3 linked regions of the Arabidopsis thaliana genome follow. The protein of the gene in region 2 interacts with the protein of the main gene of each other region in a pairwise test. Each region holds a gene or a part of one and is shown on either strand. Other genes may lie near its edges.

What was found.
Region 1: the proteins of AT4G01460 (region 2) and AT4G29100 interact in a two-hybrid assay, tested with the Arabidopsis thaliana proteins (one large-scale study listed by BioGRID).
Region 3: the proteins of AT4G01460 (region 2) and AT5G10570 interact in a two-hybrid assay, tested with the Arabidopsis thaliana proteins (one large-scale study listed by BioGRID).

What each region holds. Positions count from the first base shown.
Region 1 is NC_003075.7:14,338,923-14,342,682, reverse strand, and holds the start of AT4G29100 (basic helix-loop-helix (bHLH) DNA-binding superfamily protein), read right to left. Parts: upstream 1,719-3,760; 5' UTR 1,544-1,718; coding exon 1,215-1,543; intron 980-1,214; coding exon 601-979; intron 331-600; coding exon 250-330; intron 1-249.
Region 2 is NC_003075.7:618,989-622,748, reverse strand, and holds the start of AT4G01460 (basic helix-loop-helix (bHLH) DNA-binding superfamily protein), read right to left. Parts: upstream 2,059-3,760; 5' UTR 1,772-2,058; exon of another isoform or gene 1,422-1,771; 5' UTR 1,416-1,421; coding exon 978-1,415; intron 877-977; coding exon 478-876; intron 163-477; coding exon 52-162; 3' UTR 1-51.
Region 3 is NC_003076.8:3,339,187-3,342,946, reverse strand, and holds the start of AT5G10570 (basic helix-loop-helix (bHLH) DNA-binding superfamily protein), read right to left. Parts: upstream 1,748-3,760; 5' UTR 1,591-1,747; coding exon 1,054-1,590; intron 812-1,053; coding exon 656-811; intron 434-655; coding exon 266-433; intron 157-265; coding exon 70-156; 3' UTR 1-69. Other genes in the region: AT5G10560 (Glycosyl hydrolase family protein), read left to right, coding at 3,596-3,760.

The sequences.
Region 1 (3,760 bases), about 14 Mb from region 2:
ATTTTTATGAAATAAAGAGAGGAAAGGAATATTGAAGAATGAAGAAGAAGACAAAACAGGAGAGAACAAAAGAGTTACAAAACACAAAACCACACAGCTTATTCTGTGCCCATTCTGTTTTGTTTGCTTCTTCTGTTCTCCTTTGTGTTTGTGTTTTTGTTTTGTTAGTATGATGTCAGGGAGGGAATTTATATACAGAAAACGTTATATAAGTTATCCAAAGTTTCGTTGATATAATCAATTAGTTACCTTGAGGGTTGATTGTGACGAAGGAGAAGGTTGGAGCCTTGGCTTCTTATTAGTAGACCCACCAATCTCTAAGCTGTTACACTGCATCACATATATAGATAACAAACAAAACAAAGATCAATTAGTCATTTAATCAAAAAAAATTCAGAGCAAAACTCATCCTGGTTGCGTGTTGAATTTAGATCCAAACCTTAAAATAAAATATGTTGTCCTGATCTTTTTAAATGACGTTTTAGATTTCACTTTTTCATAGTAGTTGATGTGTTTACTAATTTATGTGTAAAACTAGATATTATTTCCGAGCTTTTTCCGTATATTATCAAAATCTCTGAGATGTGGAAAAAGTGTTACCTCAGAGGATCGATCCGGAGGAGTGTGTCTCCCTTCTGACAAGTGAAGACCATTGTGATTGCTAGAGAAATCCAACATATTATTATTGTTGTTGATGTTATCGTCGTTACTATTGAGGCTTGTTGTGGTAGTTGTTGTAACACAAGATTTGTTAGGAGGTGAGTTCGGGGAAGATATGACATAGCCATTGTTGTTGTTAATGTTACCCTCTTGTTTGATGTCAACAGCCACCATGGAAGCTTGTTGGTGGCTTAACACTTGTTCTTCCCAATTCTCCAATCTTATCTTCCCTTGAAAACCATGGTGTTGTTGTTCATCATGATGATTATGATGGTTCATCATCTCCAATCTCTCTTCCTCTCCCATCATCAATCCACCCCTAAGTTCACAAAGAAAATATCCAAAATATTAGATTGTTTGTTTGATACTTAAAATACAAACACATACATGTATATACGTATATACGTATAACAAAAAGGTAATTAGGACTAAGTAGCAACACACGAGAAAACAAAGAGTGAACTAGTAAGTAAACACAAGATCATGTCATGTGCGTATAGAGAATATTTCATTTTGGAATATTTATAGAGGGAGAGAGATAGAGGGATAGTTACAAAAGAAGTTGGCTAAGGCTCCAAGACTCAGGAGGGAGATCATTGCTTTCAAGCCAAGAAGAGAGATTAGGGTTATTAGGCAAAGACGGTGAAGAAGAAGAGGAAGAAGAAGAAGTCGCCGGAGATGGCAAGAAGTGCGGGAAGGGAGTGGGCATCATCCGTGGTCGGAGATAATTGTTATTAGGAGTCATATGTGGTGGCAACGGCGCCTGCTGATGACCCATCAACGGTGGTGGTGGCCTCATGCCGCCGCTTACGTTCCACCAATTAGGGTTTCCGGCTGCCATCAGCTGCTGAACCGGCGAACTCTCCAACACACCTCTATTCATCACCTTTTATCTCTACTCTCTCTCTCTCTATAGATCTCTTTATGTGTTTACTAATCAGAGGCTTTGGAGAAACGTTGAGAAGTGTTTGATTCTTTAGCTTAAGTAGTTTTAGAGAAGAGAAAGAGAGAGAAAACTCAAAACTAACTTAAATTTTGATCTCATTTGATAACATGTGATGTTAATTTTTTTGGAATTTTTATTTTTGTTTTTTAATTTTGTCTTTTTCCTCCCTCTTTTTTTCGTTCCTTTAATTTTTCTTTTCTATTTTTTTAGATTTATTTGATTGTATATCATATATTTACTTTTTTCCCATGCTTTTTTCCATGCTTTAGCTTTATCTTAAAGTGGGGCAGAGAAAGGTGGTAGCTACTTTTATTATTTAAATTAATACATGAGTTGAGAAAACAAGCAGAAAATATTTTTAAATCAAAGAAAAGGATTATTCGAATATTTTATATACGGTGTATAAATTTTTCGAATATATATTACATATAATTAAATAAATTTTTGGTTATATCACAACTCACAAGTGTCTTGCATCTATGATCTATGCATTCGCCTTTTGATCGAATGTAAATGAATTATCCTTTTTTTTATCCCTATTTTTTTCATTCTTGTAACTTGTTGAATTTTGTTTTTCTGATTAGTAAGATTGCTTCTTTGATCTAACGGTTTAGATTAGCTAACTAGTTCTAAACTTGCAATGATTATATCCTGGGCCAAATACTAGTGTTTTTATTTATAGGTACTAGCCGAGCCAACAATATTTTTTTCTTTCTTTTTGCTTATTTCCTCACTGTATACTAATTAAAAGTGACAAAAAAATTCAATAAAATACGACGGCGTCGTTGTATTATATGTCACATATACCTTTAAAATCACGCAGCTATATGCTTTTTTTAATAACATAGTAATGTTTGTACTTTTAGTTTATTAGTATTTGTTTGTTTTGTTTTGTTAAATAAGTACTTGAATTCGTTAGTATGGACTTTAAAGAACACTGAGTAATAGCATTTATAAATGATTCCAATAATAAAAACTATAATTTTATAGAATAAAATAATAATAATTCCATAGTCAAAAATCATATCCAATTACAAAAAGGTAAGAAAATTAAAGACAAGAACGATTCTGGTATTATTTTCAACGAAAGATTCTATTTTTGCTGACGTAAAAAGTACTGAATTGTGTTGCGTAGGGTTTTCTGTAATTGTAACAATGCAAATACATCTAACGAACTCTGTACTTAACTAATCAATTACATAAAAACGAGTCACAACGTCGGTATGCGACTTTATTACATTTTTTTTTTCACTGCGACTTTATTACATATATGATCAAGTTGCTCTCAACATTTTTATATAATAATTAATTAGCAAAAAAAAACATTTTCTAAAAGTGATACTATATATATATATTTTTTCTCTCATTTTCGTTGAAAGGTAAAGGTAAGAACATATATGTCTTGATATCATTTCATCGTGGAATAAAGTCACTGTGGATTTTTGTATATTGTGTTTTGAAAAATATTCTCAAAGATGTTTTCAGCGTATGGAAGATGTTAGTATCAAAATAACAAAATATTTTTAACATAAACTGAGGACAAAAATTATGAGACATGTAAAAAAAAAAACTTATTTTGCAAAATTTTTAAAACATGTTATTTTAAAAAACTAAGTATAATCTTAATCAACGACTATAATTACCTTTACAGTTTTCTTTTTACTGATAATATAAAAAATATATTTCAAATCAGAGAAATTTTGTTAAAACTGTTTACTATATGTTAAATGTTCCTTGTCCTAAAATAAATAGATATACTAAACATTCTTAACATGACATAGTATTTTTTGGATTGTGTATTTACTTTAGAATGAAAAAATGTATCAAACAGTTTTCTATAGATAAGCGTAATAAAATATGTGCACATGTAGGTGCGATTGTATTTGTGTGTATACAAACAATTGTTCGTTCTTTATTTCACTCTGTTAGACACAAGATGACGAGAGCATTGTGTCATATGACGCATACACTTAATTTTAAATTCTAACCTGAACGAGTCATTTTTTTTGTCCAAGCATGATCAGAAAAATACAAATTAACAATAAATACCATTTTTTTTTGCCTACAACGAAGAAGACCAGTAATCTCGAAGGAATCAATGTCCTAGGGTTTGGAGATCCCTAATATTCTGTTTCCCAGTGATTTCAATTTCCA
Region 2 (3,760 bases):
CTTTTCTTTGTAACCTAAAGTTTACACACGTTACTAGGAGTCAAAAGTCAACTAAGTTCGACTAAGATTTGACCACATGACTTCACCGTTGATTTGCTCGAAGATCTGATGAACGGCTGTCGCTATCTCATCTGCTGATCCTAATTTACAACCATCTTCCATCTGCATGCACAACACCATTCATTTCTCATCTCTCCAAAACTAAACAAAAATTAGCAACTTACTAAAAAATTAAACTAAAATTTTCTAAGCTTAGAGTGAAGGAAAAAAATACACACACACACACATAATTGTAGATATTTTCTATTATGGTTTCTCATGCATTTTAATTTTCTTAAGTACCAAACATTTCAAAATGAAGATTCCTTAATTTTCCTCAAAAAGTCAAAAATTGCTAGTTACATAAGACTATTTATAATAATGCTTAAACTAGTGGAAATTGAAACTGATAGTTTAAGAGATGATTAAGAAAATTACCTTGAGATTGAAAGAGTAGATGACAAAGTCAAAGGAAGAAGAGATAGTGAGATGTAGAATCGCAAGCTTTAGTTCTTCAATCGAGACAATAGCTTTTAAGATCTGTCGTTTTCCTCTCTTACACCGAACTTTTAAGCTCACATGGTTCTGTATCACCGTAGCCTCCACTTCTGTCGTATCTCCACCGCCGAATCTCGCCGTAAATCCATTTTCCGACGTCGTAGACACGCTAGAAATAGAAGAGTTAGTGCATGCAAGAGACGAAGATGAAGAACACGACGCCGTTTTAGGAGTTTCATCAGTTCCATCCTTTCGTTTCTCAGCTTCTAGAGATTGCAAGAGTTGCTCTAGTTCCTTGATGAAATCTATTGCCCCTCCTACAATCGAAGCTTGGTCACCCTAGAGAAACAAAAACGTTTTCTTGTTAAAGCTAAATTACGTTCTTGAAAAGAAAAAAAAATTACGTTCTTGTTTAATGAACCCTTAAAACATTTTGTTACCCGTTGAAGAAACGAAGGAGGCATGAGAGATCGGAGAGAGTTTAAGTGTTCGTTCATTTGTCGTCTTCGATTACGTTCGACGGCAATGTGAGTCATCCTTTGGTTTTCAACTTCGTCTTTGTTCTTTGGAGCTCTTGTACGTTTCCGTTTTCTTTTTTCTTTGACCGTTACTGCTCCGTTTTCTGTTCTTGGATCCTTTTCCGGGTCATCTGTTTGACCCGGATCTCTTTTGATGTTTGTTTCAAGGGTGAGACAGCTCTTTGATTCTAGGGTTTGGATCTGGAGAAGTGATTGGAGAAACTGATTTGGTTCTGTTGTTGTAAAAGGGTGTTCTATGCATTGAAGCATTTGCAGAAATGGTATCTTCTCTTCCATAGTAGTGTCTGAAATCTGACCAAATTGGTCTTCTAATTCACCAAAACTCATCAATCCACTCATAATTAGCTTCAACAAAGAAAAAAACAAGAGAGATTAGTTTTAGGATACCATTTTGACAAGAAAACAAAAATCTACTAAATCTTAAAGTGGGTATGAGAAATAAATGGTTTGGTAGGTGAATTCTTAAGACAGAACAAAGAGGATGTACGAGGAGAGAACATTAAATGATGAGAAATAAAGAATGTCGCAGCGAGAGGAAACAATAATAAAAGTAGCAGAATTTGGATAAGCTATTGTAAAATGAATTTACAAGAATTTTGCATTGAATGTTAATCATATGAAAGGAGGAGGAAGAAGAAGAGTAAATGCACAAAACAGTATTCTGTATATGAGAATAAATTACAAGAGAGGCTTACATGAGAAGCTTTATGAGTCTCTCTAATGGAACTGTTTTCTGAAGTAATATTTTTGTAACTTTGAGTATTTAGATATAGGTGTCTTTCCTCAAATAGTCTTCAAATTAACAACTTCTGCTGCTGCTTCTTCTTCTCTCTCTTTCCTCTAAACTAAAAACATTCCTTTAGGGGTTGACACTTTCTAAACTGTTCTTAATAAATGCAGTTTTCCACATATATAAAAGGAGAGAAGACGAGGAAGAGAAGAAGAAGAGGTTCGGTGCATATATGTATAAAAAAACCAAGGGTGAAAAATAAAAATACTATACTATAGCTAAATTATCTAGTTATATATATAGTCGTCGATATTTAGTATTTTACACGCACACATACAGTAATATATGTATGTATTATTAATTAAATATTTAATCCGTGAAACAGATAACCTTTCTTCTTCTTTTTTTAACCTAAATTTTGGACAAAAATATACGTGGGTGTCCTGTCCTCCAGATCAAATATTTATGACCTTGTCCTCTTTGGGCCTTCAAAATAATTTTCTTTCGGGACAATACTCTTTGATTTTTGTTCTTAACGAATTTTACTTTGGTAAATATAAGGAATTCGATAGACTTTGATGAAGGAATTCGATATTTGGCTCGACCAAAAAACATATAAAATACTTTATCTATAAAAATAATTCTACTTAAACAGAAACTTTGAAGATTCACACTAACATATATACATGTTTAAATCATCATCCAAAAATCTTCTTCTGTGTTTGGATATGTTGGCTTCATTGGTGTTACATATATATTAACCGTTTTGACCAAAAAATAATAATATATTAACCGTATTTATTTCATTTTCTTACCATATGTTTTGCTACAACTATTAGAAATTAAGTGTATATATATAATATAACTCTGTATAGACACAATGAGATTGTGCGTTGGGACTAGGAGGGGTCCCGTAAAAGTATTATTGAAGAGGGCAGTGAAGACAGTTTTGTTTGGTGGGGACACGTCTTCCATGAACAGTACTTCTCACTCTTATTAAGACAGTTTCAGGATCAGAAAAGAAGACCAAGCCTCTCTTGCTTCTTCCTCTTTTTCTTTTCTATCTTTAGAGAATTAGTTTTCTCCAATCCAAAAAGGGTTTTCATGTCTTTTACTTCAACTTTTCATTTACTTTGTTTTTTCTCTTTTAATCGAGCTAGAACAAGTACATTATGGGTCTTTAAGTATTTCCCAATATGGTGTGTTGACTTAGTGCTATAAAAATTAAGAATGACAATAGTACCCTTTAAGAAGAGGACGAACAATGCACATGGCCAAGGCCAAGGCCATGGGTGCCAAACGTTAAGTATCCTAATAATACCAACTCGATTTCAGTGCCTTGGTCTGTAGGGCAAACAACAGTACTCTCCCCCAAAAGAAATTTACCTTTTTATTTTTGTTTCCTTCTCCCAAACTACAGATTTTTATTCTACCTCAAAGTCTTTTAAGAACTTGGATTTTGTACCATGCATAAGTGAGTCCAAAACTCACATGCAACCTAATAAAATTGAATAGACTACATTTGAAAAATAGGCCAAACGAATTATGAAGAAAGGAAAATAGATGTATGAAAATATAACACACAAAATGTTTTTATATTATTATAGATAAAGAAAAAAAAAATTACAAGTTTTGTCTAGTACATTATCCACCCAATAAGAGCATGTCACATACCAATTGAGAAAAAAGTGGAGTAAATTTTTATATATTACTTAGCTAAACACAAGAATATCTATAATATATATCATTATCAACATATCATATGTGGATAGCTATTTCTTCAGCCATTATAGGTTCGAATGGAAATCAGTTTGCATTAGACACGCGAACCACATTTTCTTAGGTAGTTCCCTACGTGTAACATTAGACCCGAAATAGCACTTATTTATCGTCAAAGTAAGTATGTAGAATATGATTTTACAATTTATAGTTCTATGTACCATCCATATAACCG
Region 3 (3,760 bases), on a different chromosome or scaffold from region 2:
ATCACAAGAGAATAAGAAGAACCGGAAAATATTATCATCATTAAAAAACATTGCAATTTTGAAGCTCCCCTACAGACATCTTCCTCCATAACCTGCGTTTCTGATTAGTGCTTGTTTAGTAGCTTCCGAAGTAACCATGTATCTCTGCTCACCAACCTACATATATACGAAAAAAACAGAATATAACAGAAAATAATTATAGAATATACATTTAATTTGTCGATGCACCAAGTAAGGCTAAATCAAAGTGTAATAATATTTGTACCTCAAAACAAGAAGCCTGCAATGAGAAGTCACTGAAGCAGCTAATGACACATTGTTCAATCTCTAATCCTAGAGTCTCCAATGTACTAACCGTTGATACAACCAAACCCGGTTTCGTAGGACAACATATATCAATATGCGTATTAACTTCCCTTTGATCTACTTCAAACTGCAAAAGATTCGTTTTCGTTATAGCCAGAAAAATTGTCTGCACCTTCAAGTGATTATAATTTTTTGAGTGATATCTAATGGGAATCAAATTGATTCAAGTATATGATGAGGGTGTTTGTAACAAATGATTTGTAATGGGATGAATTTGTAAAAACACAAGACTTATGAGTACTGAAGCACAAATACCATAATAACATTATGTTTTGTTTTTAGCTTTTACCTTTAGGGAGTTTCTGACCATAGATTCGTTTGTAATGAGGGTGCTTAGATGAGAGTTGCTTCCAAGTTCTTGTTCGTCTTCTTGCAACTTGTTAATCTTGTCCAAAAGCTCCTTCATGTAATCTATTGCATCTCCTAGTATCGATGTCCTATCCATCTGATTTTATTATATAATAATCATCAAAAATTATATACATTTTCTCATACAACAAACTCTATGCAGATTCACAAAAAGCAATAACCTTTTATCAGTGAACAGTGTACCAAAAAAAAGATTTCAACAAGAAGAAAACATACATGTAACGTTAAGAACTTAACAAAAAAGGAAGAATATTTCTTCTTGACTTAAAAATAAAAACCATATAACATGTGACAAGGATGAGGTTTATGGAATTTGACCTTGGTGATTTTAGGGACAATGGATCGGAGCAGGGAGAGTCGGTCATTTAACCGTTTCCTCCGCCGTCTCTCCGCCATAAGATTCTTCGAAGGCTGACCTTCAAGCTTCTTGTTACTCCTTTTCTTGTTAGTCTCTCCGATGCTTATGAAGCTCTTGCTTTCCTCCATCAATGGTGAGTAATTGTTGGTGTTCTCTTGCGAAGCCGGAAGGATCAATGGAGGAGGAGAATAAGAGGAGTGTATGATATCCTCGAGAAAAGGATAGTCGAAAGCGGAGGAGAGCGGCGGAGAATCATAAAGAGGTGACGACGGTTGTGGTGGTTGATGAAGCAATGGAGGTGGCTGAGAAATTAGATTCATCAAAGAAGAAGAAGAAGGATGATCAATGTTGTCGTCTTCTTGGAGAAGATTGTTGAAACAGAGGTAATCGAAGTTCCAATCATTTGGGACGAATTGGTCAATCGCCATGAATCCTCCATTAACGCCGTTGAGATTGTTGCTTTCTTGTTTTCTCAATTGCGTCAATTCCGTTTCCATCTCTCTTTCTCTCTATTTTCTGAAACTCTGTTATTTGTGAAAGTGGAAGTGAACAGAGTTTGTGAGCTTGGGGTCAAAGAAGATACAAATGCATGTAAATGCATTACATAAGTGTGAATTGTAATGAAGAATTCACTTTTTAACTGATTAGAATTACTTTATTCCATTTGACATATGTATATTTATGACTTGTTTGTTACATAAAAAGTGGATTTTAATAGTTAAAAATATATATACAAATAAGTAGTTTTGTCTAGTTGTTTAAGGAGAGATCCACTAGAAAACATTACAATTTAGTGTGTTTGTTTTTGATCCATGGTCCAGCACCAACCTATGAGGCATAAGCTGAGATTGATGAAATTTTTTTTTTACTTAATATCGTTTTCTTTTGTGTTGTTGTCTGAATCGTATTATTATTGATGGTTCGTTTTCAGTGACGATATTAAGTAATTTATACGTTCTCTTTGATCGGAAAAATGATCTGACCCACAAAGTATGTCCCGGCCAAAATGAATGAACATCATCATCTAGCTCTCTTCCTTAGTCAACTTATGTATATGATACGAATGGTATTTAATATTAGAAATATCAAATATGAATAATCAGATGCTTACAAAAGTAAGAGATAATGGTCTAGATTTCGAGATTGAGAAGCTGCCATCATATTTGCTTTTTTATTATTATTATTGGATAGGCTTTTGGCACTGAACGTTAATAACATGGAAAAATCTTGAATAGATATATATTATTGTGAGTTTTTGCCATTTCAAAAGTACTCGTATCCGACGATATCGATCAATTACGGGAAAAAATAAACACCCGTGTCTCTTCTAATAGACATAATTCCGCAAATTATTACATTGTGGTGTATCAGTGTATGATTGTATTAATATGGAAAAAGAAAAGACTGACAGGTCAAAGAGATCGAAGAAGGCTTAAGTCAAAGAAATTTGTTTCTTATATCAGAAGCGAGTTGCGTGAGAGTTTGTGGACACACACTGTCTCCTACTCTATCTTCACTCCATTATTTACTACTCAATCGGATATCATTATTGTCTGCATTATATAAGTTGCTTTTCTTTGACAATTCATTGTTTTCATTTCTCAACATTTAAATTGAAAATTAACAAAATTTCATATATTTAAATTTCTAAACTAATCATTCTTGGATACCCATTGACTTTTTTTAAAAAGTATGTGTTTATCCTAATAATTGTTGGTTTAACTAAAACCAGGGATCAACAGTTGGGTTGACAAAGGTTTAGTAAATAAAATAAAGTAACAACCATAAGAAAAAAATGACACAATTTTCAAGGTGAATGCATGCAAGCAGAAGCAGGGATAAGAAAAGATGAAACACGTGAATAAGCTTCAGCCATTATGTGCTATGTGACCATGACTAAGCCACTATGGATGCATATTTGAAAATTTTGGGGTTGTTAGTTAAGTTTCAATATTGGGTTTTGAGTTTTCGGTTCATTTATTTTAGAGAGTTTTACACCAAAGTAAATAATTCTGACTTTTAATATAACTACAATACATAAAATTTGGTGGTTTTAAAATTTTTGTTATTTACAATTAATATTTTTAAATCCTTGTGAATAAAAAATTTATATACAATTTTAAAATACTATCATTTTTAATTTTTTTAAAATAAAATTTAATGTTTTCTTTTGTCAACTAGCTAGAGACACTTGAAACCCACCCATTTGTAAAAGTAAAATTATTCAAGCATTAGTCTACAAAAATTGTAGACCTTGATTAGATAAAGCCCCAATTCATAAATGTTCACTGATCTTAATTAATTACTATAAATCGATTAGATAAAGGCCCATAATGATTTGGCCCCTCTACCGTCCGTCAAATGACAAGTAACAAGAAACAGCAGTGAACCAACCGGTCCAACTGTTAATTTAGATTTTACCGGTCTATTTAGTTCGGTTTAAAACTATACCTTTTAGTTTCCTTTTTCACTCTTCTCTACAGATTTATTTTCCTCCAAAATATGAATCTTCAGTTGACTCTAATCTCCTTACTCTTCTTCACTTCCGCCATAGCTGAAACCTTCAAAAACCTCGATTCTCATCCACAGTTCCCTTGTAAACCTCCTCATTTTAGCTCTTATCCCTTCTGCAATGTCTCTTTATCCATAAAACAACGAGCAATTTCT